4 linked regions of the Elephas maximus indicus genome follow. The protein of the gene in region 1 interacts with the protein of each later gene in a pairwise test. Links are inferred from orthologs where the notes say so. Each region holds a gene or a part of one and is shown on either strand. Other genes may lie near its edges.

The links.
Region 2: the proteins of FMR1 (region 1) and PICK1 interact in a two-hybrid assay, tested with the Homo sapiens proteins (2 studies listed by BioGRID and IntAct). The link is inferred for Elephas maximus indicus from reciprocal best matches to the Homo sapiens genes FMR1 and PICK1.
Region 3: the proteins of FMR1 (region 1) and NUFIP1 interact in a two-hybrid assay, tested with the Homo sapiens proteins (2 studies listed by BioGRID). The link is inferred for Elephas maximus indicus from reciprocal best matches to the Homo sapiens genes FMR1 and NUFIP1.
Region 4: the proteins of FMR1 (region 1) and CYFIP2 interact in a two-hybrid assay, tested with the Homo sapiens proteins (2 studies listed by BioGRID and IntAct). The link is inferred for Elephas maximus indicus from reciprocal best matches to the Homo sapiens genes FMR1 and CYFIP2.

What each region holds. Positions count from the first base shown.
Region 1 is NC_064846.1:8,487,208-8,494,214, forward strand, and holds the start of FMR1 (fragile X messenger ribonucleoprotein 1), read right to left. Parts: upstream 3,018-7,007; 5' UTR 2,768-3,017; coding exon 2,717-2,767; intron 1-2,716.
Region 2 is NC_064822.1:181,955,924-181,963,920, forward strand, and holds the start of PICK1 (PRKCA-binding protein), read left to right. Parts: upstream 1-4,984; 5' UTR 4,985-5,196; intron 5,197-5,203; exon of another isoform or gene 5,204-5,347; intron 5,348-5,483; 5' UTR 5,484-5,540; coding exon 5,541-5,581; intron 5,582-7,325; coding exon 7,326-7,437; intron 7,438-7,997. UniProt on the Homo sapiens protein: Probable adapter protein that bind to and organize the subcellular localization of a variety of membrane proteins containing some PDZ recognition sequence.
Region 3 is NC_064832.1:35,299,930-35,307,362, reverse strand, and holds the start of NUFIP1 (FMR1-interacting protein NUFIP1), read right to left. Parts: upstream 3,018-7,433; 5' UTR 2,994-3,017; coding exon 2,582-2,993; intron 1-2,581. Other genes in the region: GPALPP1 (GPALPP motifs-containing protein 1), read left to right, coding at 3,215-3,302. UniProt on the Homo sapiens protein: Binds RNA.
Region 4 is NC_064820.1:173,776,379-173,784,199, reverse strand, and holds the start of CYFIP2 (cytoplasmic FMR1-interacting protein 2), read right to left. Parts: upstream 3,019-7,821; 5' UTR 2,795-3,018; coding exon 2,794-2,794; intron 959-2,793; coding exon 819-958; intron 1-818. UniProt on the Homo sapiens protein: Involved in T-cell adhesion and p53/TP53-dependent induction of apoptosis. Does not bind RNA. As component of the WAVE1 complex, required for BDNF-NTRK2 endocytic trafficking and signaling from early endosomes.

The sequences.
Region 1 (7,007 bases):
TTCATTTAGAAAATGCTTTATAAAGATTTTGTGAGTTATAATTCAAAGTGTTTCACGTCTTAAAATAACGCAAGGTTCTATAAGTGGTACATGTAACTGACTCAATGTGAAAGAAATATCTAAGCAATAAAAACAGTGGCTCTGATAATTACTAATCTAACTTTCAAATTTTTAAGAATAAACATGAGAGGAAAAGTAGAAGTGAACTATTGCAATCTTAGGGTTTAGGGTTCATGGTTAATTCTAAATCCTGAGCTTCAGCTATGTTCTAGAGAAAGAATAAAACTGTTACCAGCATATACTCAGTACTGAGTTTTTATTTGCAAACTTGGAGCATGTGCTCAGAAGATGGAGAACTGTACTTTGCAATATGGTGGCTCTGTTAGGCAAATCAAAGTCTGTGTTCAATTATAAAGAAGTTATTTCATTTGTTTAGTTTTTTTTTTTTATCAATTCAATGAACAAGGTTCCTTTTTTTTAATAAATGCAACATATTTCTCTACAGCAGTTCATTTTTGATTGGTCTTATTTCCTATTTTTCATGTCCATCCCACCAGACATTAACGACAAGCAATTCAGTTTACTTTGTTGCTCTTTTATAACTCACAGCAATATTATGAGCTAAATAAACAGCTAAACTTTTTTCATTACAGAAACTCTTTTTTCACCAATACAGATCAGTTGAGATTTTCTTAAAAAGAAACCTTAATTAAATAAACATAACAGCAACTTCTCTTCTCCTCTCAAAGAGCTAAGGAACAATTGGTTCTTTTTTTTTTTTTTAAGTCACCTTCAAATTAAGCCACTTGGTTAAAAAACAAAAACAAAAAGGGAGCTTAATGGCAATGATAGGGGGCATTTCTTATATTCCTATCGGTTTGCAAGCAAAATCACTGGAGCAAATCATGTGTTGCTGGAAAAGAACAATAAATCCTTCAAGACCAGGATGTGCTACTTGCCCTCTATGGCAAGCAAACTCTCCTAAAAGACATAAGGGTGGTGTCCAATATAAGCTGATATTATAAAAAAAAAAAAAATCAGTTAAAATACTGCTCAACCATTAGTACCTGGTCATGTATACTATAGTTAGATCCACAAAAATAGTGACTAAAACTACAAATCTAAGAACCAGAACTATTCTACACAAACCATTAGAAATTATGAATTGCTGAAATAAATGCATCCACAATTTTGACTGCAGAATCAACTGTTAACAATTTTATATTGGTGAGACGGTGAAGAATAAAAAATGCTGAGTTAATTTTCACTTCCTTGTACAGCAAAAGGTTTTATCATTCTTAGTGGAACAATTTACATTCTTTAGTCTTTTATGAAACATACTCATCCCCAAATGTTGCGATAAAATTGGTAAGCTTATAGTCTGTTAAGTAGTTGAGTCAATGATTGCTTTTCTTATAGCCAAACATGTCCCTTTGAAACGTTAGTTACTCCGTAATACTTTAACAATTGTGTTGGACAATGGCCATAGCTATTTTCCATGCTTCCTTCCATGTGCACCTTCTGTTGACAAAATACTCTAGTAAGGTGGGATCTTACTTACAGAAGTTATACAGACATTGAAGAGGAAACAAAAATTCATAGATTACTGTAGTAAATATGAACTAACAAACCCCCTACTGATCCACCAAAACATTGCTTTTAATTCTGTTTTTCTCAAATGTAAGATATTTGTTGATGTGCAATGATGTAACTTCAAAAATAAAAACCCACAGTAGGACTATTAATGCCTATTCAAAACCCCTACAACACAGTCCTCTGCAACATTACACATCCAAAGAGAAGAGAGGCAAATACCTATACTTAGAGCACAAAGCAAACATTTCCAAACACTCCGTTCTTAAAATTCCTCAGTAATAAGACAGTCCCAATTAATTTTCTCAAGTTTCATGAGGCATATATTCAGGTCTTTGGGGAGTTTAAAAAAAACGAAAAAAAATTTTAAAGTGAGTAGTAGAGTTGCTAATGTTTTTTAGATGCTGTATTCCAGAATTTACCCACGTTAAAAAAAGGGAGGGGGGCCGAAGGAGAAGAATTACCAACTTCTTTAATGCACCGATTGCCCAGATATGTTAGGCTCTTTCTGGAACTTTGGAGGCTCTTGTAAAAATGCACAAAGAGAGAGAGCAGTAAACCCAGTTACCACCGTGATTTGGGACTGACGACCACTTCTTACTACTCTGTCTTCACACCTCGCCCAGAACAGCGGCGCTCTTCGAAGTCCCAATCCTGGACCAGAAGGCGACGCCAAAGGGGACCTGAAAACCTCTGGGCCGGACAGGCGGCGGCCCGCCGAAGGCGCCCCCCGCTCCTCCGCAGCTCCCCCACGTCAGGCCGGAGCCCACGGGCGGGGAGCTGGGCGACGGAGCAAGGGGACGGAGGAAGCGGCTGTCGCCGTCCCCGCGCGCCGATTCCGGCCCTTCCCGCCTGGCTCTACCTGCCGCCGCCCTCGCCCATCCCCAGCCTGCCGCGCCGGGGCTTGGCCGGGGTGGGCGCCCCTTCTCCTCGCCCGTGTCTCCTCCCCACGGGCGCCGGGGGCTCTCGAAGGCTCGGGGGGCTTCCCGAAGGCCCGGCGCCCGTCCTTCCCCACACCTCCAGCCGAGCGCGCCGGCCCGGCCCCAGGCCTGCCTCCCGCCGAGGCCGCGAAGAAAAGCGAGGGAAGGAAGGGAAGAGATGGGGCCTGCCCAGAGCCGAGTACCTTGTAGAAAGCGCCATTGGAGCCTCGCACCTCCACCACCAGCTCCTCCATCTTCTCGTCGCCCCTGCTCGCGCCGGGAGCCCGCCCCCGGGAGGTGGGCTGCAGGCGCTCGAGGCCCAGCCGCCGCCGCCGCCGCCGCGCTCCCGCACGCCCCCCGGCAGCGGCGCCGCCGTCACCGCCACCGCCTGCGCTCGCCGTCGGCTCGCTGCCCGCTCCAAGGCGGCCCCTCACCGGAAGTGAAACCGAAACGGAGCGGAGCGCCTGACTGAGGCCGAACGCTGAACGCCGGGCCGCTCCGCGTGTAAACACTGAAGCCGCGTCACGTGACCCGCGCCGCCCCTCCCCCCGCCGGCTCGGCCCCTCGGCCCCGCCCTTCCCTTCCCCGCGGCCTCTGGAGCGCGCGCATGCGCGCTGTGGGGAACCGGCTGGGGCGCCAGGCCCGACGACGGGCGCGCGGGCTCGGCGTGTGCGGGGGATGGCCCAGCGCGGGAAGGCGGGAAGGGCAGTGACGGGTCGCGTCGCTTCGCAAAGCCCAGCGATGACCAGGGAGCCTGTCACTGGAGAGGGTGAGAGGAGGCGTGGGAAAGGGCCTCCCGTAGCGATCGCCTGCATTCAGTCATCTGAGGCCAGGCTGCTCAGGGTGGGAGGTGGTGGTTTATTTTTTTTGTTGTTGTTGTTTTTTTAAAGCGGAGCAAAGGCTTATTGAGCTGGAGGTGGAGTGGGAGACAAGGATAAAGGTGAATTAGATTGGAGGAGACTTTAGTAACAGTAACAACCAGTTCATCCAGGCTAATGTGACCCTTAGAGGCAGACAGGGAGAAGAGCGCCCACCCACACCATGACATTCTAGGCAGAGTAGGAGATACATCCCAAGTCCCTTGAGGGGCAATGGATTGTGTTGGCATCTCTGGAAATTTTAGCTTTCCCTCAGACCCGAGACTAACCCACATGTTCCCTTTCGGTCAATTCAGTTTCATACTTTTACTTGACATAAGTATAAAAAAAAGTTAAGCACTTGTTCATTTCTCTACAGCTCATATCTGCCCCTACTGTGTGCCACCCTGTACCAAGAGGGTAGGTGGGCATGTGCGTAGCAGACAGGCGATCTGCCTACAGGGGCCTTGCACGACCCATTTCCTTGCAACTCACTTTACTCTCTATGGTAAACAAAACCCAAATCTTTCTCATCTCTGCCTCTGCACCATGCTGTATCCTCCTGGGCCTGTGTTCCCCTTGTCTGGGGTGCTTGTATTCAACTGAAAAGTTTATTGAGTGCCTACCATGTGCCAAAGCTCGTAGCGACCGTCTAAGACAGAGTAGAACTGCCCCATAGAGTTTCCAAGGTGGGTTGGCGGATTTGAACTGATGACCTTTTGATTAGCAGCCCAACTGCACCTATAGGGTCGCTATGAGTCGGAATCAACTCTACCTCAACGGGTTTGATTTTTTGTTTACCATGTGCCAAGGAAGCTCTGGTGGTTGAATGTTAAGCACTAGGGCTACCCAAAAGGTCGGCAGCTCAAACCCACTTGGTGGATCGGCTCTTCAGGAGAAAGAACTGATGATCTGTTCCCGTAAAGATTATAGTCAAAACCCTGTGGGACAGGTCTGCTTGGTCACATGGGGTGCTATAAGTCGAAATTGACTGGAGGGCACCTAACAACAATAACTCATGTGCTGGCAATACATGAGTGAGCAAAAACAAACAAAAGCAAAACGGCCAACATCGAACTTGAAACCTACAGTCCTAAAAACCAAAAACCAAACCAGTTACCATTGAGTTGACTCCAACTCATGGCAGCCCCATGTTTTGCAGAGTAGAACTGTTCTATAGAGTTTTCAAGGCTGTGATCTTTTGGAAGCAAGTTTCCAGGCCTTCCATGGGAAGCCCTGGTAGTACAGTAGTTAAGAGCTTGGCTGCTAACCAAAAGGTCGGCAGTTGGAATCCACCAGCCGCTCCTTGGAAACCCCATAGTAGTTCTACTCTGTCCTACAGGGTTGCTATGAGTCAGAATCGACTTGACAGCAGTGGGTTTTGGTTTGGGTTCTTCCATGGCACCTCTGGATGGGTTTGAACCACCAACCTTTTGGTTATCAGTCAAGCACATTACCGTTGATGGGCATAAATTATCGGAAAAGTAAATGTAGAGTTGCAGCTGTGATAAGGGCTATGAAGAATAACCAAACCAAAAAAGCCAAACCCATTGCCATCAAATAAGTGCACCTATAATAATGATGAGACATGACCTAGTGTGGGGAGAGGAAGGTGTGTTTGGCGAAGGGGAAATGACTCAAGCTGGAATGTGAGGGGCCAGAGTTAACTGACAGATGGGCAGCACTGAGTTGGGGGAAGTAGCATGAACTGCCCCAGACAGATGCCCCAGAATGAGAGGCATCATTGAGGCCCCGTTCCCTTCCCACCCCACCCCCAGCCAGAGCAGCAGCATCAGAGCTGGTGCAGTCCTAGCTCTAAGGCAGCAGCTCAGAGGCCACACTCCTTGAGGCCATAGTAAACCGGAATGACCCCTTGGACTAGAAGAGTCTCTGGAGGAGTCACAAGATGGGAAGACTCCAATAGAGATTCTCGCCATAGGCTGGACTGGATCAGAGTAGATTAGAATAATTATACCTTCCATGTGTAGAGTGTTGCTCAAGTTACCCAGTGCTTTCAAGATATCAGCCCTCCACAACCACCTTTACTGCTCGAGCCACATGCTTCCTGTCCCCCAGCAATACTTACCCTTAGCACTATCCCTTAGCACTGTTAGCTGGATTTCTGTGAGCTAGTTATTTTACCTCAGGTGCAGAGAGTGAAGTTGCTTTGCACCTCAATTCTCAGCACATTGTCATCATGAGTCCCTTCAAGGCCCTTCTCATGTTTAAGGTATTTTATAGTGTTTATATTATTTATATTACTTTTTCTCATCTCCCTCAATCCCCACTCTCATTCTTCTAGGCACCCATTGCAATTTGTTTGCTATGATACTTGATAATTTAAGATGCGCAGTATTTTCTGTATGCCTTTACACTTACAGAAATGTTATTGGACTGTAAATCTCTGGTTCCCACTTTTCTCACTCAACACTATGTTTTTGAGCTGTCTCCACATTGCTGGGTGTACCCCTAGGTTGTTGCTTCTACCTGCTGCTGAGTATTCCATAGATTTTACTTACACATTTCCCTGGTGACGGGCATTTAGGTTGCTGCCAACTCCCCAGTGCCACACTGTGATGAACTCTTGTGAATACCTTCACAAATCTTTGGAGGCAGTTTCTTGTGTACTCTTGTAGAACTTTGTACAAACTGCCTGCTTCCTCTTCACACTGCTTGGCATAGAGCAGGGACTCAGGAAATGTTGAATAGCTCAACTGTGATGGTGAAATGTACTGGAATTGCTTATTTATATTTCTGTTTCTCTCAATGGACTGTGAGTTTCTTCAGGACAGGAAAGATGTCTTATTTATCTTTGTGTCTCTGGCACATTAAAAGTGGTTGGTTCCAATAAATATTCAATGAATGAGTGAATGCTTATACCTAAATGTACTGTGACTTAGCCTTGCCCACTTGCCTCTGTGTCTCAGCCTCACTCTGATCTCTAACTCTTGAAATTTCCCCTTTCAGGATAAAAACCAGTTTCTTTCAAGATAGCCCAAGTGAATTCAGCCCTGCCTCAGAGTCTGCTCCTCCCATATTCTCCCCTTACACAGTTAATGGCAACCCCCTCCTTCCAGTGAGTAGCTCAGGCTTAAAAAGGAGTCCTTTTGGACTCTTTCTCACACTCTGCAGCTACAAATCCATCAGCAAATCTTTTCAGAGTCCAGAACCTACTTCCTACCACTTGTGCTGCTAAAACCCTGGTCCGAGCCCCATCTCTCTCACCTGGGTTACTGCAATAACCTCCTCACTGGTCTCCCTGCAGCTCCTCTTGTCCTCGTCTCTCTATTCTCAACACAGAAGACAGAGTGACCCTGTCCAAGTGTCCATCAAGTCACTCTGGCACTCAAAGCCCTCCAGTGATCCCTAAATGGCTCAGAGTAAAAGGCAAAAAACCCTCCAATGATCCCTAAATCTCTCAGAGTAAAAGGCAAAGTTCTTATTTACTCTGGCCTCTGTTCTCTACATCTTCTGACCTCTGTTATTTCCTCTATGGCACCCTCTACCCTTCCATTCCATACCCCCCCCCATTCCAGCTGTTTCTTGAATACACCAAGTAGGCCCTGTCTGTCTCCCCTCACTAGAATGTAAGCTCCGTTAAAACAGTGTTTTCTTCACTGCTGCATCCCCAGTGCCT
Region 2 (7,997 bases), on another chromosome or scaffold:
TCTCCAAGGAGGTGATACTGGAGTAGAGATTTGGGTGAGGTGAGAGAGTGAGCATAGCTGGGGAAGAGTGTTCCAGGCGGAGGGAACTGCAAGAGTAAAGGCCCAGAGGTGGGAACATTCTGGCATGTTCTAGGACCAGTAAGAGGCCCTGAAACAGAAAGTGAACGGGCTAAAGGAGGAATCAGGCTGAGCTCTTGGAGGACTTTAGGGGAATGTCATGACCTGAGTTACACTTTAAAACAAGCTCTTGGGCTTTTAGGATACTCATTTTACACAGAGACCAAGGCTCGGAGAGGTCGATGTTCCCAGGGTCACACAGCTGGTGGGTCCAGCTGCCACCTGAGCCAATGCTCTGTCCAGCGACCCTATGAGCTCCCCATGAGTTCACAATCGTGAGCTTTCCCACTGGGCTCTTACTCAATGCTTTGAAGTGGGGGAGTTAGCCTGCTTGGGCAGATAAGAAGGCTGGCTCACTTGTTCACGACCACAGACCAGAAGGCATAGGGGTCCGAGGGTGGGGTCTGGGTCAGACACCTCAGGTCCAAAATCTGGCCCTCCCATGAATTTGCTGGGAGATGTTGCAGAACTTTCAGAGCCTCAGTCTCCTCATCTGTGAAGTAGGGGTAATGATGACACATGATTTGGCCCCTGCTGACCTCTTCTCGCAGCCCCCTCCACCTCCTCGGTGTGCTCCAGCCAGCCCGGCCTTTCCTGGAAGGTATGAAGGTGTCAGGTCATACCTGCTGAAGGAACACACTTCCCAGGTCTTTGTAAGCTGGTGTTCTCACAGAGGTCTCTGGTCACCTGGTCAGAGAAGCCCTTTCTGACCACCACATCTAAAAGCCCCCTAGTCCCATCACCTTCTTACCCCCCTTTACGTATTCATAATTCTCGTTACCAGCTGAAAGTCGCCCATTTCTTTGTTTCCCAGCTTATTGCCTACCTCCTCCCAGTCACAAGCTCTGTGAGGGTAGAACTTTGCCCGTCTTGTTCCCTGCTGTGCTCATGGCCCAGATATAGTAGGGGCTCAATAAATATTTATCGATGACTGAATAAGTGAATGAACAGGACCCACCTGTGAGGGCTGTTGTGAAGTCTACCTGAGGTAATGAATGGAAACTGCTTAACACATTGCCTGGTATATAGTAATTGCTCCATAAGTGTTACCTGCTATTATTGTCATCGTTACGAACTCTTTGAAAATTTTTATTTATTTTGTTGTTGTTGAGAATATGCCCAGCAAAACATACACCAATTCAACCGTTTCTACATGTACAATTCAGCGACACTGATGACATTCTCCGACTTGTGCAACCATTCTTGTTCTCCTTCTCTGAGTTGTTCCTCCCCCATTAACATAAACTCACTGCCCCCCTGAGGTTCCTGTCTAATCTTTCATGTTGTTGTTGTCAATTAGATCCCATATAGATAGATCTTTAACGAGCATAAGGCCCAAGGCAGACATTCTTTACTAGTTAAGCTAAATTATTGTTTGGTTTGAAGAAGACTTCAGGGGATATTTTTGGTTTAAGGTTTAAAGATTATCTCCGGGGAATAGTTTCAGGAATTCATCCAGCCTCCATGGCTCCAGAAAGTCTAGATTCCATAAGAATTTGAAATCCTGTTCTAAAATTTCCCCCTTTTGATCTGGATTCTTCTATAGACTCTCATGACGATCTCTTGACTTTAAAGCCCATGCTCTAAACTTCTCTGCTGATGATGAATTGAACCAAATTCCATCATCCCACCCTTGGTCTCTTGACCTTTACAGGGGCCTTTGATGCCAGACAGTGACTCAAGTAGTATTTCAGGCCCTGTGCTGGGGTTGCAGCAGCGGCTGAGGGCAGGCAGGTCAGTCACAGTGTGGTATGCACATGACCAGCCTCACCCACCGCCCACAGCCTGCAAAGACTCATGGTCTCCTCAACCAGCCCCAAGCTGGGAGGGGACGAGATAGTGACAGGAGTGCAAAGGGCGGGACTCGCCTTGCTGTTCTGGGATTCTAGGAGAGGCTTCTCCCAATGACCACTGGGTGGCAGCACTTCCCCGGAAATAAGAGGCTGGGAAAGCATTTTCAGCGTTGACTGTGAGACTGAGAGCGGAACTCTCTGAAAGGACCCAGGCCCAGTGGGGGCACAGCTAGGACTTGCCTGGGCCACACAGCTTCCAGTGGCAGGGCCTGGGCTTCCTGTGAGGTCACCTGCCTGCCTTGGACAGGCTCCAGAGCAGCAGCAGGGGAGAAGGAAAATCAAGCTCGGAGATTGAAGGTTTGAGGACTAGCCAGAGCCTTCTGGAATGTTGTCACCCCAACTTTGACCCCCCAGAATCCTACCCATCCTGAGGAAAGTGCTCAAACAGTCCTCTCTGAGGCCCCTCCTGACCGGTGACTCTGGCTGAGGTGGTGGTTCACTCTCTCCCACCAGCCACTTGTTAGTCTTCAACCATGCCTGTCAGCTCTGCAAACTGTGATCCCCTGAGGACAGAGACTATGCTTTGTCCCCCCCAAACCCCCACTGCCTGTCACGGGAAGTCTTTGCACCAGCTGTGCCCTCTGCCTCTGTCTCCCTTCCCCTCTTCTTGGCCCGTGTACCAGTAGCTGAGATGTCACTTCTTCCAGGAAGCCTTCTCTGGCCTTTGGCCTGGGCAGGAGCCCACCTCTGGGCCCACACAACACGCTGGACACCCTCCTGGACAGTGAGGACCCTGGGGAAGGATTCTTGGGGCGCTCAAATAGACCCACCCTGAGTCTGCACACTGTACCTCTGGGCCCCGGACACAGAGGTCCTCAGCCTGCAGGGGGCATGAAGTCACCTTTAGAGCTTTGTGAAAACACAGCCTCCTCCAAAGTCCCATCTCCAGAGACTGCTCCAATAGGTCTGAGAGGGAGTCTGGGAATCTGCATTAAAGATGCCTTCAGATGTGTCTGAGGCAGGGGCCCCAGCACACTAAGGCCCTCAAACCGTGCCATGGGCTTTGCCTTCGGAAGTGGTTGGGCAAAATAATGAAAATGAAAAATGACAGTGTCATGGATTGAGTTGTGTCTCCCCCAAATATCCGTCAACTTAGCTGGGCCATGATTCTCAGTATTGTGTGATTGCCACCATTTTATGTGATTTTCCTATATGTTGTAAATCCTATCATTATGATGTAATAAGATGATTAGCGGCAGTTATACTGATGAGGTCTACAGGATTAGTGTCTTAAGCCAATCTTTTTTGAGATATAAAAGAGAGAAGTGAGCAGAGAGACAGGAGTGCCTTACACCACCAAGAGAGAAGCGCTGGGAGCAGAACGCATCCTTTGGACCTGAGGTTCCTGCACCAAGATGCTCCCAGACCCGGGGAAGGAAAGGATATTCCTCCTGAGCCGACAGAGAGAGAAAGCCTTCTCCTAGAGCCAGTGGCCTGAAGTTGGACTTCTAGCCTACTGGACTGTGAGAGAATAAACTTGTCTTTGTTAAAGCCATCCACTTGTGGCACTTCTGTTACAGCAGCACTAGATGACTAAGACAGACAGTAGCAACCGCAACCATCTGTGCCATGTGAACCACTCACGCAACTCTTTCACCCCCGTTTCTCTTTTTTCTCTTCATCTTTATAAATACCATCGTGGGAGGGACCATTAGCCTCGCTCTACGGACACCTGAGGCTCAGAGGCAAAGGGCGACTTGCCCAAGATTCCCAGCTACAAAACGGCAGAGCCCAAGCTTGAGCTCAGGTTGTCCTGGGGTGGAAGAGCCACAATGCATGTTAAAGCATCTGGGGTGGAAGATGCTGCTTTTTTGAAAATAGAAATTCTGGCCTAAACACAGGGCTCAGTGGTTCCAGCCCTGTGGAGGGAGCCCAGTGTTCCAGCCCCAGCCCTGCCATTAGCCACCTGTTTCAAGAGGGGTAGCTGCTTCTCTGAGCCTCAGTTTCTTTACCTGAAAACTGTGGTTGACAATACTTGTTCTCCCCTCCCAGGGGCGCAGGGAACTTTAAACTTAAAGTCCTGTGAAAGGGATCTGAACTGCAGAGAGGCACAGATCTGCTGAGACCTGCATTAGCTCCCCAAGGAGGGAGAGGCCGGGACTTCCACCAGGCTTGGGGTACATGGGTAATCATCCTCCTCCATCTCCCCTTCCTCCACAGCCCCTGGGACAGCTAGGGAAGGAAGGTGGGCAGGCCTGGCCCCCATGCTCCTTGAATGAGGTGGACGCCAGGGCTGGGAGAGCCAACCTCCTCCAGGAAACTCGTTTTACACAACAGCAGTGGCAGAAGAGGTTGGCAGGGACATGAGATTCGGACTCCTCAGCTGGGAAGTACTGATGGCGTTTCCTGATCCACAGGTAAATGGGGGCTGTGACCCTCGCTGGGCCCCCAGGGAACTGCTCCTCAGCACTAAGGAAGGAGATGAGGGTATGAGGAGTCTTTCACCAAATACCATGGTCTGGAACTGGAGAGGATGATAGAAAGCCTCTACCTCCATGTCCTTAGTTTATATATGGGGAAACTGAGGCATGTAAAGGGAAGGTAACTTAACTTGTCTGATTTGTCCTTAATAGCAGACCCGCTGAATACAGGTCTCCTGACTCCCAGTTTAGTGTCTCGTTCTTAAAGGACACTGGACTGGGCGGCTGGTGTCTCAGGCTCAAGTTCACCTTTGGGTGGCACTGAACAAAATCACTTCCCCTCTCTGGAACTCAGTTTCCTGCTGTGAAAGTAGAGCTGAGATTTCAAAGCGTCCTTCCAGTTGACACTCGAGTAAAGGCGTCACCAGGCTTGGTCTAGGCCCGGGTGCTGAAAATGTGAAAAGGAGGGTCTCAGGGTTTGTAGTGCACTGAACTTCGTCCGAGAGCCCCCGCCCAGAGATGCTTTCGTTGCCACGGCAACCGTCCGGACAGCGTGGTCCCCTGCGTTCCGCTGAGGAACCTGGGAAGAACCCTGCCCTTACCAAGATGGCGGCGGCGACAGGGCAGGGGGCGGGGCTAAGCGCAGTCAGCTCCTCCAGACCTTTTCTCTGTTCCGCTTCTTCAAACCAACATCGAGCTCCCGTCCATACTTGTTCTCTTTCCTGGTTCTGGAAGCCCCTGGAGCCAGAGACGGAAAGGCTGCCTGCAGGGATTGGGGCGAGTACCTCAGGGAGAGGGAAGGCGGGACTTCCGCGTCTCACCGGAAGTGACGCGACAGTCGCGGCCGCCGACAGGTGGAACGGCAGGTAGGTTCAGGTGCCAGCCTGGCAGGGTCCCGGCTGTGGGACCGACGCTTTCGGTGAGCGACAGAGGCGGCCCCCAAGGCCCTGGAGACCCGTTGGGCGGGCTTTGGAATTTGAGCCTTTCATCCTGGCCTGGAGCTCCTCTCTGTACCTAGTAAGAATCACCGCCACCCCCAGCCAGGACCCTCCATCGTGAGGCTCTCCCAGGTCTCCCAAATCTGCGGGGCTGGGTTTGGCATGCAGGCACTTCGGTTCCTTAAACCCTACCCTCCTTTCTCTCCCGGATCCAGTTTCCTTTTCCCCTACCGAGGTTTGCAGTTAGCCAGCCCATCCCAACTCTCGGAACCATGTTTGCAGACTTGGATTATGACATCGAGGAGGATAAACTGTGAGTATTTTGTTCCCCCAAGTCCTGGGAGTGCTCTGAGGGAGCGGCGGGTCCCTCAGATTCCTGGACTTCTCGGTTCCACAAATTCTTGCTCCCCTGCGGTGGGTCAGGACTTGTGCTGAAACAGAAACAGACCCTGCCCTCCAGGAGCTCACCATCTGTAGGGGTCTGTGGACACATTGGCAGCTACAGCTCAGGGCTGAAAGGGCCCTGATGGAGAGTGACCTGGCTTCGAGGAGAGCCGTGCGGATGGAGCAGTGTTTCTGCCGGGGTGTTCAGGGAAGGCTTTACGGAGGCTTGAGCTGAGTTTTGAAGAATAAATAGAAATGTCATAGCCATACCTTCCTTCCCAATCTAGACAATTAGTGGGACAGAGTTTTAAAACTTAGGTTTGTCTCTGCATTAGAATATATACTCCATGAGAGCAAGGGCTGGGCCCAATTAATGCCTTTCTGTGTCCTCAGCCCCAGTGGCATCACTAGGGTTGGTGTCACCCAGTGCGGTAACTCATGATGTCACCCCTCCATGGACCTTCTCCCATACCAGTCCATACAGAATCCTTAGCAATGTTTTTTTGTACTGATGTTACTCCTAAATTGTGATTTCCGTATATCACTCTTTCTTTTCCTTTAATTACTACTTCATTCTCAAAAAAAGTTACTGATAATAGGTTCACAAATAGTAATTACCACAATATTGTAGCTAGAACACCAGAAAACTTGACAATATCAGTGACTGTAAAAACACCAGTAGCAACAAAAACAACAGCGCGTTCTTGTAGCGCATGCAGACAAAACCACGTGGTTCAGAGTGTCATTGTAATTGGGTAATAATGACAGCTCTGACCGCAGGGCACTAGACAGTTCAAAAAATGAATTAGCATAGAGTTTTAGCCTTATGGGTATATCGATACATGGAAGCTGGGCCTACGAAAAAAGGTTTTTGTTGTTGTAACTGCAGGGATATTTTTATAAAACGTAATAAGTTTCTGCTGAAACACTGCATAACAATTTTATAGACAGTCATTTTGGTGTCACCCCCTCTGACAGTGTTACCCAGTGTGGTCTGCACCTCCTGCACCACCCTAGTGATGCCACTGCTCAGTACTTAGTAAGGTGCTTGACATCATAGGGCGTTAGCAAATGTTTTTGAATGAATAGGTGAATAAATGAGAATATTTACCATGAAACATAAATAAGTGCTAATATATAGTAAAAACTGAGATGTAGAGTAATTGAGCAGATGGGAAGTGGGTGGTTGAACAGGGGAGGGCTTCCCAGAGGAGGTGGCCATACTGTCCCATATGTGCCTAGGAAGGTGACAAGGACAGAGTCTGAGTAAAATCTCAGAGAATGAAGAAATGGGAAGGGGAACCACTTTTTATGGGGTGCCTGCTATGTGCTGGGTTGGGGTTAAGTATCTTCCATGCACTTCTTCACAATAACTCTGATAATAAGGTGGTCTTATTCCCATTTTATGGATGAGGAAACTGAGATGCAGAGAGGGTGACTTACCCATATCACATAGCTGATAAATGGTACATCTATGATTTCATTGCACATCGGCATGACTCCAAAAGCTGTGCACTTTCCAAAACAAAATGCTGCCTTTCTGGTCAAGTGAGGCAGAGCAAAGGTTATGTAACAGTTGGAGCCTCTCGGGGGTTTTGGAGGACCCACCCCCTGCCCTGTGTCTTCCAGTCATCCTTCTTCCAGGAGATGCAGCCTTGCTCTTCTTTTTCCAGTGGAATCCCTACCGTGCCTGGGAAGGTGACCCTGCAGAAGGATGCCCAGAACCTCATCGGGATCAGCATTGGAGGAGGGGCCCAGTACTGCCCCTGCCTCTATATCGTCCAGGTATTGGGCACTTTGGAGGTGGGGCGAGGTCCTGGAAAGGGTGAGTACCTCCTTGCTTGGCTATGATGGAGGCAGGTTCATTTCTGCACCCTGCATACATAGCTGGCTCCTCAGTCTTCAGGTAGCGGGCTTGAACAAGTGAATAAATGAAAAGTGTCCTCCTTAGAGAGGCCTGCCCTCTCAGTAGGTCTGCCCTTGTTTTTCTCTATCTTTGCCATCTGTGCTTTTTTTTTGTCAGCATTTATCACTGTCTGTAATCATGGGTTGGTTTGCCACTTGTTCTAGACCTGGCTGTTCTCCAGAGTCTTTGCAGTATGAAGACAGGGTCCCTGTGTTGCTCGTTTGCTGTGGTCAGCACCTAATGCAGTGGACATGCAATAAAAATGGCTTTAATGAATCTATGAAACCTTTGGCCTTGGGTACGAACTCAAGCGAAGTGTAGTGGATAGATCTTGAAATAAGAATGGCCTGAGTTCTAATGTAAGCTCCTCTGCTTACTAGCAAGTTGGTTAGCCTGTCTGTCCCTCAGTTTCCTCACCTGAAAGATGGGAATGTAAAAT
Region 3 (7,433 bases), on another chromosome or scaffold:
AGCCGGGCACCACCTAGTTCTTCTGGTCTCAGGCTCCATCAGCAGCTTTTCAGGAGAAAGTTGTGGCAGTCTGCTTCCACAGATTTACAGCCTTGGGAACACTATGGGGTCACTATGAGTCGGAATCAACTCAACAGCAGTGGAATGGATTTAGGTATCTCTAAGTACAGAAATGGATAATCTTACCAAATGAAATTCCTTGCAGTTATTTCAAATATTAAAATGAAATCCCTGATACAGTTATTCCAGCATCAATCTAATATCAAGAAAACACAGCCTTGTAAAACACATCTTCTCTCAAATCCCACTGCCTCTTTCCATTATCACTGCCATCATCCAACTCAGAAACTCTGATCTTTCACCTAGATTACTATTATAACTTCCTAGACTGTCTTCCAGTTCTTAAGCCTTTCCTCTTCAACTGACCCTGTAGACCAACACCACAAAAATAGTCTCCAATCATGTCACTGCCCTGTTCAAAAATCTGCAAATAGCTTCCTTGAGTCCTTCATTGAGATTCCAGTTCATTTTCTCACCCTCCCTTACACATCCCCGCCCCCGCACCCCACCACTACATAATCCGATGCAATCACACTCGTTAGCTGCCTTTGAGTTGTCCCCACCCCTCGTTCACGGCAACCCCGTACACAACAGAACAAAACGCTGTCCAGTCCTACACCACCCCCACAATGGGTTGCAGATTCGGCAGGCCACTGTGATCCATAGGGTTTTCACTGGCTGAGTTTTGAATGTAGATGGCCAGGCCTTTCTTCCTAATCTGTCTTAGTCTGGAAGCTCAGCTGAAACCTGATCGGCATCACAGCAACACACAAACCTCCACTGACAGACAAGTGGTTGCTTGCACTTGAGGTTCATTGGCTGGGCATCAAACCCAGGTCCCCTGCATGGGAGGTAAGACTTCTAGCATGACCACTGGCATCACTGCCATCTCAGTCACACTAGAACACTGCAATCTACAGAGCCCACCTTGTACTGACAACTGTTTGCCTCCGCAGAGAAAGTACATCCTCCAGATCCTACACAGCTCCTAAGACACTTCCTGCAAAAGCTTTCCCCAATTTCCTCTGCACTCTGAAATCATCTTTTACGTGCCTCTGTCACCAGTCAGGAGCCCTGGTGGCACAGTGGTTAACGGCTTGGCTGCTAACCAAAAGGTCGGCAGTTCGAATCCACCAGCCACTCCCTGGAAACCCTATGGGGCAGCTCTATTCCGCCCTATAGGGTCACTGTGCGTCGGAATCAACTCGACAACAATGGGTTTGGTTTGGTATCACCAGTCGCACTGCATTGTGATTTGTATTTATGAAACTTTATCACCTGTCTTTGGACTGTCTTAGTCCCACTCATATCTCCACCATTTGGCATACAGTATGATATCAATTAAGTACACATTTGAATTCCACTTAGCCTAAATTGAACCTCATGCAGAATTAACTAGCACATGGCTTTAAATATCATCTATATGCTGATGATGCCCAAATTTATAGTGCCACACACATCTCCATTGAAAGTACGGACTCATAGCTAACAGTCTACATGTAGCTCTTCTTGGCGCTAACATATTCCAAACTCAACTCCTGGCCTACCCTTCCAAATCTGTTCCATCCATATCCTTCCCCATCTCAGTTCCTTTTTTGTCTGGCAAAATACCTTAAGTCATCCTTGCCTCTTCTTTATCTCACACTCCTCATTTAATCCTTTAGCAAATCATGTTGGCCCTACCTTCCAAATATATCTGCAATCTGACTACTTCTCATTACCTCCAGAGCTCTATCCTGGTCCTATCTCTCGCTTGGGTAATTTTAACGATCTTGCCAATCTCCCTTACACTCAGTTCCTATCACACCAGCCAGATTAATCCTTCTACTACATAAATCAAATCATGTCACTCTTTTCCACAAAACCTATCAATGGCTACCCATCTCACAAGAGTATAAGTCAAAGTTCCATTAATGGTCTACAAGGCCCTTCAAGGTCAGCCCTCTTTCTTCATCTTCTACAATTCTACCACGAATTCTGTTCTTTCTAGTCAGATTGATCTTATCCATTCTGTTTTACAGCATTTGCCCCAAGGCTTCTGCACTTGCCTATATGCCTCCCCCCCCCCCCCCATATATCTGTGGCTCTGATCCCTGAAGTCTTTGCTCAAATGTTGCCTTCCTTATGAGGCCTTCTATGACCAGCCTATTTAAATTCGCTCTACCTATCATTCTTTACTGCTTCACCTCTTTCCAAAAAAAGAACACTTTTCATCTTCTAATACACAACGTAAATATTTTGATTATTGTCTGTCTTCCCACACTAGGGAGCTGTTACGCTCCACAAACAAGGATTTTTGTATGTTCTGTCCACTGCTGTTTCCAGTTACTGGTACATAGTGAGAACTCAATACAAATCTGCTACAGTAAATGAACAAGCGGGAAAAACATACCAGTCGTACACGGTATGGGACACTAATGACCAGACTCCAAGAGTGCAGAGAAGAACCAGATGTAGAGAGAGAAAATGGAGAAATGGGAGAGAGAAGAAAGGGGTGATACCACAAGGAAAAACAGCCTACCAGAAGAGTTGTGGGACTTCTGATGCTTAGGAAAAGTATCATCAGGAGGCTGTCTCCAGTACCACGATGTCGAAGCCTGGTAATTCCAGAAAGGCTGGACGTTGAGTTGAGGCTGAGAATCAAGAGGGGACTGGGCGTCGAAGGGGGGCTGCGCCCCGGGAAGAAGCTGGGCGTCGAAGGGGGGCGGCACCCCGGGGAGCGCCTGGACCTCCCGGGAGGGCTGTGACTCCGAGGAAAGCCCTGATCCGGGTGTAGGATGAGACGACGGAGGTGGCGGCGGCGGCATCATTGCCCAGAGCATCCAGTTGTCCCGCATCGGGGTAGTGTTATTCAGAGGCCCCAACGTGGGAGTCAACTCGGGGGGTGGAATCCATCCCGACGGAGTCACGAAACCGCTCGCGGATTCAGCCATGCGACCCACCAGGTGGAAACTCTTGCAGGCGAATGCGGAACAAGCTTTTAGCGTCACTTCCGTTATCTTGTATTATACGGCACAGCCAACCACAAATCGAAACGTCATTTGTCAGCGCCGGAAAAACTTCCGGCATCGGTGACGGATCGCGGGCTGCCTTTTGGGTGGGTTTCATTCCGCGCGAACAGATTTGTGTGCGTGATTAGCTCCTGCCACCGCGGATGGCGAGAGACCTGATCGGGCCGGCGCTCCCGCCCGGCTTCAACGCCCGCGGGACAGCGGAGGACGAGGAGAGGGACCCGAGCCCGGGTAAGCGGCGGCGTGTCCCCTGCCCGCCAGGCCTGTCCACCACCTCTCTGGCCGGGGCTGGCTCTCTGAGGAGAGGCCTGAGTGGGAGGACGGAGCCGCTGGGAGTGAGCGCAGCCAACTTTCCCTCCCAAGCCCTAGCAGTAGGGAGGTGGTCGTGGGGGCCTCCTCAGAAAGTAGGGTGCGTTGCGCGAGCTTTGGCCTGGTAATCATAACGATGATGTATTTTCATTTAGCGCTTAATATGAGCCGGACGCTGTACTGAACGGTCGACACATGTTCAATAATTTAATACTTTCGGGAACTAGGTAAAAATTATTGTCATTCCCATGTTACAAACAGAGAAACCAAGGATCCAACGGGTGCCCAGATCACACAGCTAGTAAGTGGTGGAGCCCGAATTGGAACAGTGGAGCCTGTGCTCCTAACCTCTGTGCCGTATTTATTGCCTTCTGAGGACGAGACTCTTGGCTTTCCCAGAAGACTCTTGGCTCTCTAGCCCCAACCCCGTTTTCCTAACCTCTCATTTTGTTTTTATGTCACACACGCGTGCGCGCTCAGTGTTCAAGCCAGACCACGTTTCTGTACAGTTCCTCAGTGCTCTAGGCTCCTTCTGCCCTTATTCTCCTGCACTTCGTTACACACCTGACAAATTCCTACTCATCCTTCAAGACCTCCAACTTGGGTGTCATCTTAATGAAGCCTTTCCAAACCCTCCCAAGCATTGTCACACCTTCCTCTTTGCCCATAGGTTTTCCCTACTTAATTCCATCACATATTTAATGCATTGTATTTGAATTATTTGTTAGCATATCTGTCTCCACCACTGCACTGTGGAATTCCAACCTAAACACATAGTAGGCATTTGGTACTTGCCAAAGAAATGCTTCTTAGACTCCTCCAAGTATATCTATGTTTGTTCTAAATAGTAGATTGAGATTGGCACTATAGTTGGAGAAAAGTAAACTGAAAGAGTCATCTTTCTGTTTCTGGATCTAATGTTTGTGCTTTGATTACCCCTAGGCCATGTTTTACCTAGAGGTTTTCCTTCCAGGTCTCATTTCTGTTATAGCCATTGAAATGCCATGCCCTGTCGCATAGTGGTTAAAGAGCTTGGCTGCTAATGGAAAGGTCAGTGGTTCAAAGCCACCAGCCACTTTGCGGGAGAACGATGTGACAGCCTGCTTCTGTAAAGATTACAGCCTTGGATACTCTATGGAGCAGCTCTACTCTGTCCTGTAGGGTTTCTGTGAGTCGGAATCAACTCCAGGGCGATAGATTTTTCTTTTAGCAAGGAAGGTTCCATTCAACTAAGGCTGAAGAAAAATGTAGTTAACCAAGTTTTGTGGCTGGGTTCCTATGTGTATGTTGTTTCTGGTTCACCGTATTTTCTGATTTTAAACGAACCACCATCTCCCAAATAGATACTTCTATTATGACTCACTTTTATCAGTTTACTTTTTTTTATTTTTTTTAATTCTTTAAGCACTTAACACATTGTGCCTGTAGACATATGTGTATCTCCTTCTACCTGAAAGGAGTGTTTACTTCAACTCAGGTCAGTGCCTAGCACATAAAAGCTCTTTGGTAGATATTTGTTGAAAGACTTCCCTGTTTCACCAAGCACAATATCTTGCACAAAGTTGGCCATTTTTAGCACATAATCCTCTATGCTATAATTCCATTCACATTATAACCTCCCAGATGTTTCATCTAAAACAGATCCCTAAAATTCTGCAGATATCATTTTTTTCCACATTATTCTTTTATTCACATTAGTGTATTCTGGGCTTTTAAGAAGTTTATTGGTAACAATATTCTCCATTTTTTTTTTTTTTTTAACTTTTGTGGCTTCTGGTGAAATTGCATTTTTTAAACCTTTTTATGAAGTACAGTAAACATACAAAAAAGTATACATATAAAAAATTTAAAGATTGATAAAATTTCATCAAATGAAGATACCTGTGATACCAGCATCAGGATCAAGAAATAGAACATTAGCAGCCATAGAGGCTCCCCTTGGACCACTATCCGGTTACTGTTTGCCTCTCCACCCACCCCTGCAACCAAAGGGTAACCATTGTCCTGACTTAATAGCAGCACAGATTCGATTTTGTGTGCTTTTGTACTTAAGATGTGAAAACAAAGCTCTTGACTTCCCCCCAAATCTTCTCCCACTCCTAGCCTTCACCATATTAGAGAATGGTGTTACCATCCCTCTGGCTTGCCAATCATGCCAGGAACCTAAGAGTCTTCCTTAGCTCCTCTTTTTGTCTCATCGCTCCCATCCAGATGACTAGCAGGTACTATTTGCTCTTCCTTCAAAATTTGTTGCAAATTTAACCACTTTATATTAGCTTCTAACTCAGCTCCCCTACTCCTGACCCCTATGTCTATTGTCCACAAGCATTTCTTTTTAAAGGTAATTCAGATCATGTCTCTCCCTACTTAAAACCTCCAATGACTGCCTGTTGTAATTAAATAATATCCAAACTGTTCTAGCCTGTTACAGCATTTCTTGAGTGCATAGTGTATGCCAGATACTGTGCTAAATGCATGTCTTAGCTTATGTAATCTTCACAACAACTATATAAGGTTGGAATTATTATCAACCTCATTTTAGAGAGGAAGAAAATAGCACAGGTTAAATAACTTATCCAAATCACACAGCTAATACATGGCTGAGCTGGAATTCAAAGCCAAGGAATCTGACTCCGAAGTGTACATGCTAGCCCCTTTGTACCAGGCACCTTCATCTTCTTTGCTTACTTTGCTTCAGCCACACTGGCATTTTTGTCCCTCAAGCACATCAAGCTTGTTCCCCCATAGGACTTTTACACTGGCCGTTCCTCTCTCTAGGTGCAGTGGTTAAGCCCTTGGCTGCTAACCAAAAGCTCAGCTCTTCAAACCCTCCAGCCACTAGGCAGGAGAAAGATGTAGCAGTCTGCTTCTGTAAAGATTATGCCTTGGAAACCCTATAGGGCAGTCCTCCTCTGTCCTTTAGGGTCGCTATGAGTCAGAATTGACTCGACGGCAGTGGGTTTTGGTTCCTTTCTCTGGAATGTTCTTTCCTCAGACTGTCGCATGGCCACTGTCATCTCATCATGCGCGTCACCATTCAAATGCCATCTTCTCAGAGACTCCTTCCCTGACTGCTGTTTTTAAAGCTACCCTCCCACATATCTACAGTTACCTTATCCCTGTTTTCTGGAATTGATCTTATTTGCTTCTTTTTATGTTTGTTTCTCAAGAAGCGTTTAGTCCATAAATGTTTGTTGGAGGATGGGTGTGAACTGTTTGTTGAATGTTGAGTAGTTTAACAGTTAAGGGTAAAAGCTCAGATACCAAACTATCTCAGCTTCACTATTTAGTGTGTGAAGATGGACAACTTAGTTATCCTTTCTGTGCCTCAGTTTCTTCATCCGTAAAATGCAAATAATAACATCTCCTTAATAAAGTTGGTGTGAGGAGTAAGTAGATTAATGCACCTAAATTTCTTAAAGAGTACATAGCACATAGGAACTCAAAACGTGTTATTTTTCTTATATTTACTATTTTTAAATTTTCATTATTACTATTGAATGAGTGGCATACCTGGGAAAATCGTATATCCAGGTCCCACTCGAGACCAGTTGAATCGGAATCTGGGGAAAGGGCCCAGGGATCCTTTTTTTTTTTTTTAAGAAATATTTTGGAGATCCTGAAAAATATTCAGGCTTAGGAGCTATGGCAAGCTATGGTAATAGACTTGAAGCATCACTTGTCAGGATCAACATAGACAGTCGTGTCTATGTGACACCATCCATCATGCAGTTATTTGTCATTTTGTTGAGATGTAAAGTGAGACTAAGTCACTCTGGGAGGGGGCCCGAGACCCTTACCACTTTCCCGGCATCCCCTTCCTGGTGTGACTCTTTCTCTTCTGTGTCTCTCTGTTGGTGAACAGTAAAACCTAGCATCACTGTAATTTTGTTTCTGCTTGCAGAGTCATCTTGAAAAGAAAATGGTGATGCCAGTAAGGATACTTTTTTAAGTAGTAGTTCTTAGTCAGAAACCAGAATAGATCATTTCGATTCTTGATATATTCAGGTACAGAATAGTACATTTATTATCAGGTTAACTCTTTGACATAAA
Region 4 (7,821 bases), on another chromosome or scaffold:
GGGAAACTTTTATTTGTTAAAGTTACACTTTTCTGTACTGCTTGTAATACAAAAGCATAATTAAAAATTTAACTGATGTTAGCTGAGGCTTCAGGCATGTGTTTAATAACTACATTTAACCACTGGACGAAATTAAAAATAAGTCTTATATTTAGTCTCATTTAGTAGTCCAAGAACTTTCAAAAGGTCAAACACAGCCGAAAATGTCAAATTAACGAGTTCTCTATTAACGTGGCATACTCTCCTCGCACACCCCGACAAGGGGCTCTGTATAAGGCTAACTCCAGCCCCGCTGGTGCCCTTCCCCACCAAGCCCTGACGGGATCACCATCTGAGAAATTCCATTGTTGTTTATCACAAGCTTTCCTCTCGTAGGCAAAAGCAAACAACTGTGATCAGCCTCCCTGAGCCATTACCTGCTGTAGGCAGTTATAGAGTTCTTTTCACACACATGAAGGAGGAGTAATTACCCAGGCAGGCTCTGGGGATTTCTAAACTGCAATATTTAATTCATGAGGTCAGCGCTGCCAAAAGCTTGGTTGGTGCAGCGGCAAGAACAACCAGGAAGGTATTTGGGGTCAGTGCAGTTCAACAAGCCTTCCCTGGGGAAGGGAAATAGTCTTGGTGAACATTTACTAGCTAATCTATTCCTTACATTCAGCTCCAAGAAGGGTGCAAGGAACTCCATCAGCTCTCAACCTTTCACCTTCCAGAAGCAGACCTCCCCCTTCCCTCTGTCTGCAGGGCAAACCCTCTTAGGGGATCCCCAGAGTCCTGAGGCCCATGCACTATTTCCAGGCAGGGCCAGGAGAACTTACCTGGTACATGATGGAGGAGGGCGGAGGCTCGATGCATGGCTGCTGGTCAGGGAGGGGCAGCTCTTCCAGCAGGTCCACGTTGGACAGGGCATCTTCCAGGGTGACGTGAGTCGTCATGGCTGCAGCTTCCCTATTCCGCACTGAGGGAAAGGAAGAGAAGGGCAACAGAGGATTTCAGGGGGCTCTAAACATTTCATCCAACCCCACCCAGTGCAGACACTTTCCGTGGGATAAAGGGGGCTAACATGCATTAAGATCACTTCCACTTGCTACTTCTTCAGAACCATGCTCTAGGGATGGCTGGTGCCCTCAACCTGCACCTTATATATTTGAGGATTTCTTTACAGTTTATGAAGTCCCTAGGTGATGCAAATGGTTAACACACACAGCTGCTAACCGGAAGGTTGGAGGTTCAAGTCCACCCAGAGGCTCCTCAGAAGAAAAGCCCAGTGATCTAATTCTGAAAAGTCAGCCACTGAAAACCCTACAGAGCACAGTTCTATTCTGACACACATGGGTTCACCACGAGTCAGTCAACTTGACCGTAACTTTTTTTTTTTTACAGTTTACAGAGTACTTGTATGCCTATTATTTCAGCTTAGACTCAACAACCCGCTATGATCAACAGGGTGAGTGGGAAGTATTATATTCAAAGAACTCATAAAGAAACAAGGCTCAGAGAAGTTATGTAATACCCATACAACCACAGTAACCAAAGGTAAATGACCTAAAATAATGCCTGACACCAGGCCAGTCAGTCCCCGCCTTTTGCTCTTCATAAGGATATTTACCATTCCACTTTTAAATTAAAGCACAGCACAGATATTCACGATTTCAACAGCCAAGATAACCAACAACTTGAAACCAGAGCCTAGGCTTCATAGGCTAATTAAGCCACCAGTTGCAGCGGCGTCAATTTGGACTCCTGGTGACTCCATGTATGTGACGGGAGAACTGTGCCCCATAGGCTGATTTTTTTGAAAGTACATCACCAGGCATTGCTTCCAAGGTGCCTCTGGCTAGACCTGAACCTCCAACTTTTGGTTAGCAGCCAGTTTACACCATCCAAAGGCAAATAAGCCGGGACTAAAAGAATTCAGGCTCCAGCAAATCGACCTTGTTTGCAAAGATGGAAGAGCCCTCATCTCCCTTGGCCCTGGTATGTTTCGTGTGCCACATCAAACAAATAAGCCCTAAGGGGACATTTTTTGTCTTGGACCCAGCAGAGTGCAGCTGCTTTGAGAACAACATATTTGCCAGGCAGTGAAGATGCAGAGGATCTGAAAAGCACTGCTACCAACTCAAGCCAATTGCTATTTTAAGAACTCAGCACCCAGCGAACAGCTTATCCATCTTTGTTTTTTTTAAAAAAAACACACAGGAAACACTGATAGAAACTGATTGTGATTTAGGCCTTAGAACAAGTTGCCACAAGTTCCCCTAAATATGATATCCAACAAGTCACAGTCAAAGATAACGACACAATGAAATTAGAAATCAATAATGCAAAATGAAGCAAAAAAAAATCCATTCTGTTGAAAACTTATAAAACACTTCAAAGTTATTGATGGCTAAAGAGAAATTCAAATGGGAATTATAAAATATTTTGAACTGAAAGATAAAGCACTAATAAATATATTTATTGGAAAATAAGAAAAATGGAATTAAATGAACCTAATTTTCCATTCAAAAATCTAAAAAAAAAAGAGAATTAAAAAAAATCAACACAAGAAAATGAGAATACAGGAATAATTAGAAAAGCAGAAATAAGTGAAACAAAAAAAGCAAAGCAAAACCAAACAAACGGCAGTAGCGGTGGACACCAATGTTAAAAATTGAGTTTCTAAAAAAGATTAATTAAAAAGAAAAGCTAACCCTTTAGCATGTGTGAGTAAGGAGGAAACCGAGAAGACTCATCTTTCTATTGCGGGAACTCCTCCCTCCCATGCCAATCCCAGGGAGGCAGGAGACATACTTAAGGGTTGAAGTTTCTTGCTTGGATGTCAGCTTGCTTTGCTCAAAGGAAACGAGGCGTCAGGCCAGAGGAGGCATGAACAACTGACATGTGAACCTGGGCTGCAGAGAGTTGAAACAGCTGCAGAGTATACCAAGGTCGTGCTATCACTAAACTAATATTTTCTTTAGACCCAAGGTTGGGAGGGCAGATGGGGGCTGAACTAGGAAGAAAGACAACCTTCACCCACCGCTGAGCAGCTCACACACTTCACTGAGTTCTCAAACACATCTTCCTGTCACGTACTATGGTAATGGTGAAAGCCACGTGCAATGAGGGAATACCCAGCTCAGAAGTGACTTCCCCCTCTGCCCTCTGGGGCATCAGTCCTCACAGGGATGGTTTCAGGTCCCCATCTGCACCTCCCCCTCTTTCTTTGTTCTCTTCTCTCCTCAGAATCCTAAGTGTGACATTCAGCTCCACAGCAAAACCATTTGCCAATCCATAAAAGATTGCCTTCTTTCTTACATTAATGTTAAGTCCATTTTACAGAAGGGTTAATGATTTTACAGGGCATATTAATTCAAAGGAAACCCTATGGCATAGTGGTTAAGAGCTACAGCTGCTAACCAAAAGGCTGGCAGTTCAAATCCACCAGGCACTCCTTGGAAACTCTACGGGGCAGTTCCACTCTGTCCTATAGGGTCGCTATGAGTAGGAATCGACTCGACAGCAATCAGTAATGATTCAAATCTATAACCACCAAAGGCCTAATAATTTCCTTTATTAATTCAAATAATAATAAAACTATCATTTCTTCAGCCTTACTCTGTGTCAGACACCATGCCAAGCACTTGACGATTATAATCTCGCATGAAAACCCTATAAAAGGAGGTACTATTATTATCCCCATGTTACAGATGCGCAAACAGAAGTTCAGAATTTAAGTAATTTCACAAGGTCAAGTGCTGGCAAGTCGTGGAGCTGAAAATAGAACCAGGTTTGTTCAGCTCCAAAGTCTGTGGTCATATTCATGACCCTGTACTTCTGCCCCAATGTTCAGCCTCACTTGTGATACCAGACACATGACTGGAGGTTTATCCTGTATCAGGCTCTGTGCTAAGTGTTTGAAAGATGATACATTAGTGCTTCTCCTGTCTGCTTATGGCAGAGATGCACATGCTCAGCTTCTTCGCATTAAATGTCTGGGCTTCATCCATAGGACTCTGACGACTGTGTTTTTAAAAAGCTTCCAACCTTGTTCGTAATAAGAGAAATTCAGATTAAACTACACAGAGATACTGTTTCTCACCTACTGGACTAGCAAAAATCCAAAGTTTGACAACACACGTTGTTGCTGAGGCAGTGGAGAAACAGGCCGTCCTATACAATGCTAGTGGGGATGCAAAATGGCGCAGCCACTATGGAAGGAAATTTGGTAGTGCTGTGGATTGAACTGTGCCCCTCAAAAATGTGTGTCAACTTGGTTAGGCCATGATTTCCAGCATTGTGTGACTATCCGTCACTTTGTCATCTGATATGATCTTCCTATGTGTTGTAAATCCTACCTCTATGATGTTAATGAGGCAGGATTACAGGCAGTTATGTTAATGAGGCAGGAGTCAATCTATATGATTAGGTTGTATCTTGAGTCAATCTCTTTTGAGATAGAAAAGAGAAAGGTGAGCAGAGAGACAAGGGGACCTCATGACCACCAAGAAAGTAGTGCCAGGAGCACAGTCCATCCTTCAGACCTGTGCTCCCTGCACCGAGAGGCTCCTAGAGCAGCAGAAGATCGATGACAAGGACCTTTCTCCAGAGCCTACTGAGACAAAGTCTTTCACTGGAGCTGGAACCCTGAATTCGGACTTCTAGCCTCCTAGACTAAGAGAAAAATTTCCGTTTGTTAAAGCCACCCACTTGTGGTATTCCTGTTATAGCAGCATTAGATAACTAAGACAGGTAGTATCTAGCAAACTTTCATAAGCATTTTACCCTTTGATCAGCAATCCCACTTCTAGGAATCTATCCCAAAGACACACTGGCAAAAAGATGTCTGTACAAGGTAGTCACTGCAGCACCATCTGCAATGGCCACAGACTGGAAACCATGCACACATCTGGCTGAATAAACCATGGTACGTCTATACGATGAAGCAGCAGGCGGCACCGAAGACAGATGACACTCTACATGCAGTGATGCAGTAAGCTCTTGGACATGCAATGTATAGTATGCTACAATTTATATAAAAAGGAGGAGATGCACACACATATATCTTATATTTAAAAAGCAAACAATGAAAGGATAAACCATGTAATTTTAAAGATTGGTTACCTACGGTGAGAGGAGAAAGGAATGGGAAGGAATACAGTTAAAGGGACAAGGATAGAAACTAGAATTCTTTTAATATATCTGGTTTTATAGATTTGCCTTTAAAACCATGTAAATAAAATTTAAATTTACAAAGTAATCTCCAAAACAAATGAACCTAAAGGTCTATCTGGTTGGCGGCATAACCACACAGAAAGAAACCATCCCAAGTAATTTTAAAATTCATTAATTTGACTGCACATCCTTAGTGGGATATACTCTAGAGACGACAAAGGACTTGTAAATATATAGCTTAAGTTGTTTTCCGTAATTATATTGAGGTACTGTTGCTGTGAGAATATGAGGATTTATTGTCCGGTAAAGAAAATTAGTAATTATGGAATGTTCTAATTCTATCATTTCCTGGCATGAAGTACTGGCATCCTTGACACAGGATAAAGGAGATACGTATGTAAGACTGAGGAGACTAAGTAAAAACCTAATAGTCCTGAACATGGATTTGAAGCATTAGTAAGAACTTACACGTTTTAATAAAAAATAAAGAAGGCGTACGTTTTGTTATGTATCTTTCTACCATAAAACATAACAAAAACTCTGTCCACTGAAAAGGCCTAGAAACAATGCCCAACCCAAGAGCAATGGGCACCCTTGGTGCCCAGAATGTCATATCCAAATATCATTTGGAATCAGTGCTCACTGAAGAGTTGGCTTTCTCTAGGTCTGGGACAGAACATGTATAAAAGTCAAGAAAATCTTGTCATACCAGAAAGCAAAGAAGCTATTAATTTAAGACTACTAGGGTGAATCAAAGGGACCCTGAAGCCAACCTGGGGAGGCTTCCACTGACCAAAGATGGGACAATCTGAGCATCAACTAGCAAAATAACTACAATGGACTGAAACAGTATCAAATATGCTTAAATCTGTGTGATCATGACAATAAAAACTTGGTCTTTATTACTTGGTTACTGTTGGAAAATGCTTGTGAACCAATATTTAACTTGCCTTTCCTATACAAACAGTACCACTGGATAACCAAGTTGTAGAAGAAAGGGATGTTTCTCACCATAAAAGTATTTTTCTCCCCCCTCCAAGAAAATCCAATCCCCTGATGAACAAATGGATGTAGGCATCAATCATCAACAACTGCTAACATCACTAAATGAGAGACAATAACACATTGTCTCCTAATGGAAAAGTATATCACCACCTTATGAAGAAGTCTAGACCCAAAACAAAATACCTTAATCTATTCAGCCTTTGATACTTGTCGTAGTCATCTAGTACTGCTATAACAGAAATACCACAAGTGGATGGCTTTAACAAAGAGGAATTTATTTTCTCACAGTCTAGTAGGTTACAAGTCCAAATTCAGAGCGTCGGCTCCAGGGGAAGACTTTCTCTGTCGGCTCTGGGGAAAAGTCCTTGTCCTTAATCTTCCCCTGGTGGAGGAGCTTCTCAGGCACAGGAACCCTGGGTGGAGAGGAAGTGCTCTGCTCTTGGTGCTGTTTTCTTTGTGGTATGAGGTCCCCAACTCTCTGCTTGCTTCCCTTTCCTTTTATCTCCTGAGAGGTAAAAGGTGGTGCAGGCCACACCCCAGGGAAACTCCCTTTACCTTGGCTCAGGGAGGTGACCTTAGTACGGGTGGTATTACAATCCCACCTTAATCCTCATAACATAAAATGACAATCACAAAATGGAGGACAACCACACAATACTGGGAATCATGGCCTAACCAAGGTGATACACACATTTTTGGGGGGACATAATTCAATCCCCAACAATACCAGTTCACAGGAAACAAAGGACCACAGTGATACAATCAGTAAATTACAATCTATGGGAAACTACTAGACAAATGACTCAGTACCTTCAACGAATAAATTGCAAAAAACAAAAAACACAGAGCAAGAGAACAAGAGAGATGAAGGGAGAAGCTATAGGCTATAAGAGACTAAACAGACTGTCACAATGCGTTGACCTTATTTGGATTCTATCTCAAACAACCAACCATAAAAATAACGGAGTAAAAAAACTTAACAATGATCAGATATTTGATAATATTAAGGAAATGGCAGTGGCATCACTAGGGTTGGTGTCACTCAGTGCAGTAACTCATGGTGTCACACGTCCCCACCCCTGATCCCGCTCCCAGCCCAATGGATCTCCTGTCTTTAGTACTGTTTTTGGTTCTAATGTTTATTTTCTCCTTCTTTCCCTTGAATTAATAATTTATTCTCAAAAAAGGTATTGAATTAGGTTCATAAATACTAATCACCACAACACTGTTTTATAGCTAAAACACCAGAAAATTTGACAAAATCAGCGACTATAAAAATATCGGCAGCAACGAAAACAACAACGCGAGCCTGTGGGATGTGCAGATGAAACCACATAAGTCGAAGTGTCAGTGTAACTGGATAAAATGACATCTCTGACCACAGCACATTAGAAGGTTAAAAAGTAAATTAGCATAGAGTTTTAGCCTTGTAGGTATATCGATACACGTAAGCTGGGCTTGTGAAAAATGTTTTTGCTGTTATAGCTAACTACATGGATATTTTTATTAGAAAATTATAAATTTCTGCTGAATCACTGCATGAAAATTTTATAGACAGTCATTTTGGTGTCACTCCCTCTGACAGTGTCATCCACTGGGGGTCACATGGCCTGCATTCCGCCAGTGACGCAACTGGGAAAATAGTGTTACTTTTTAGGT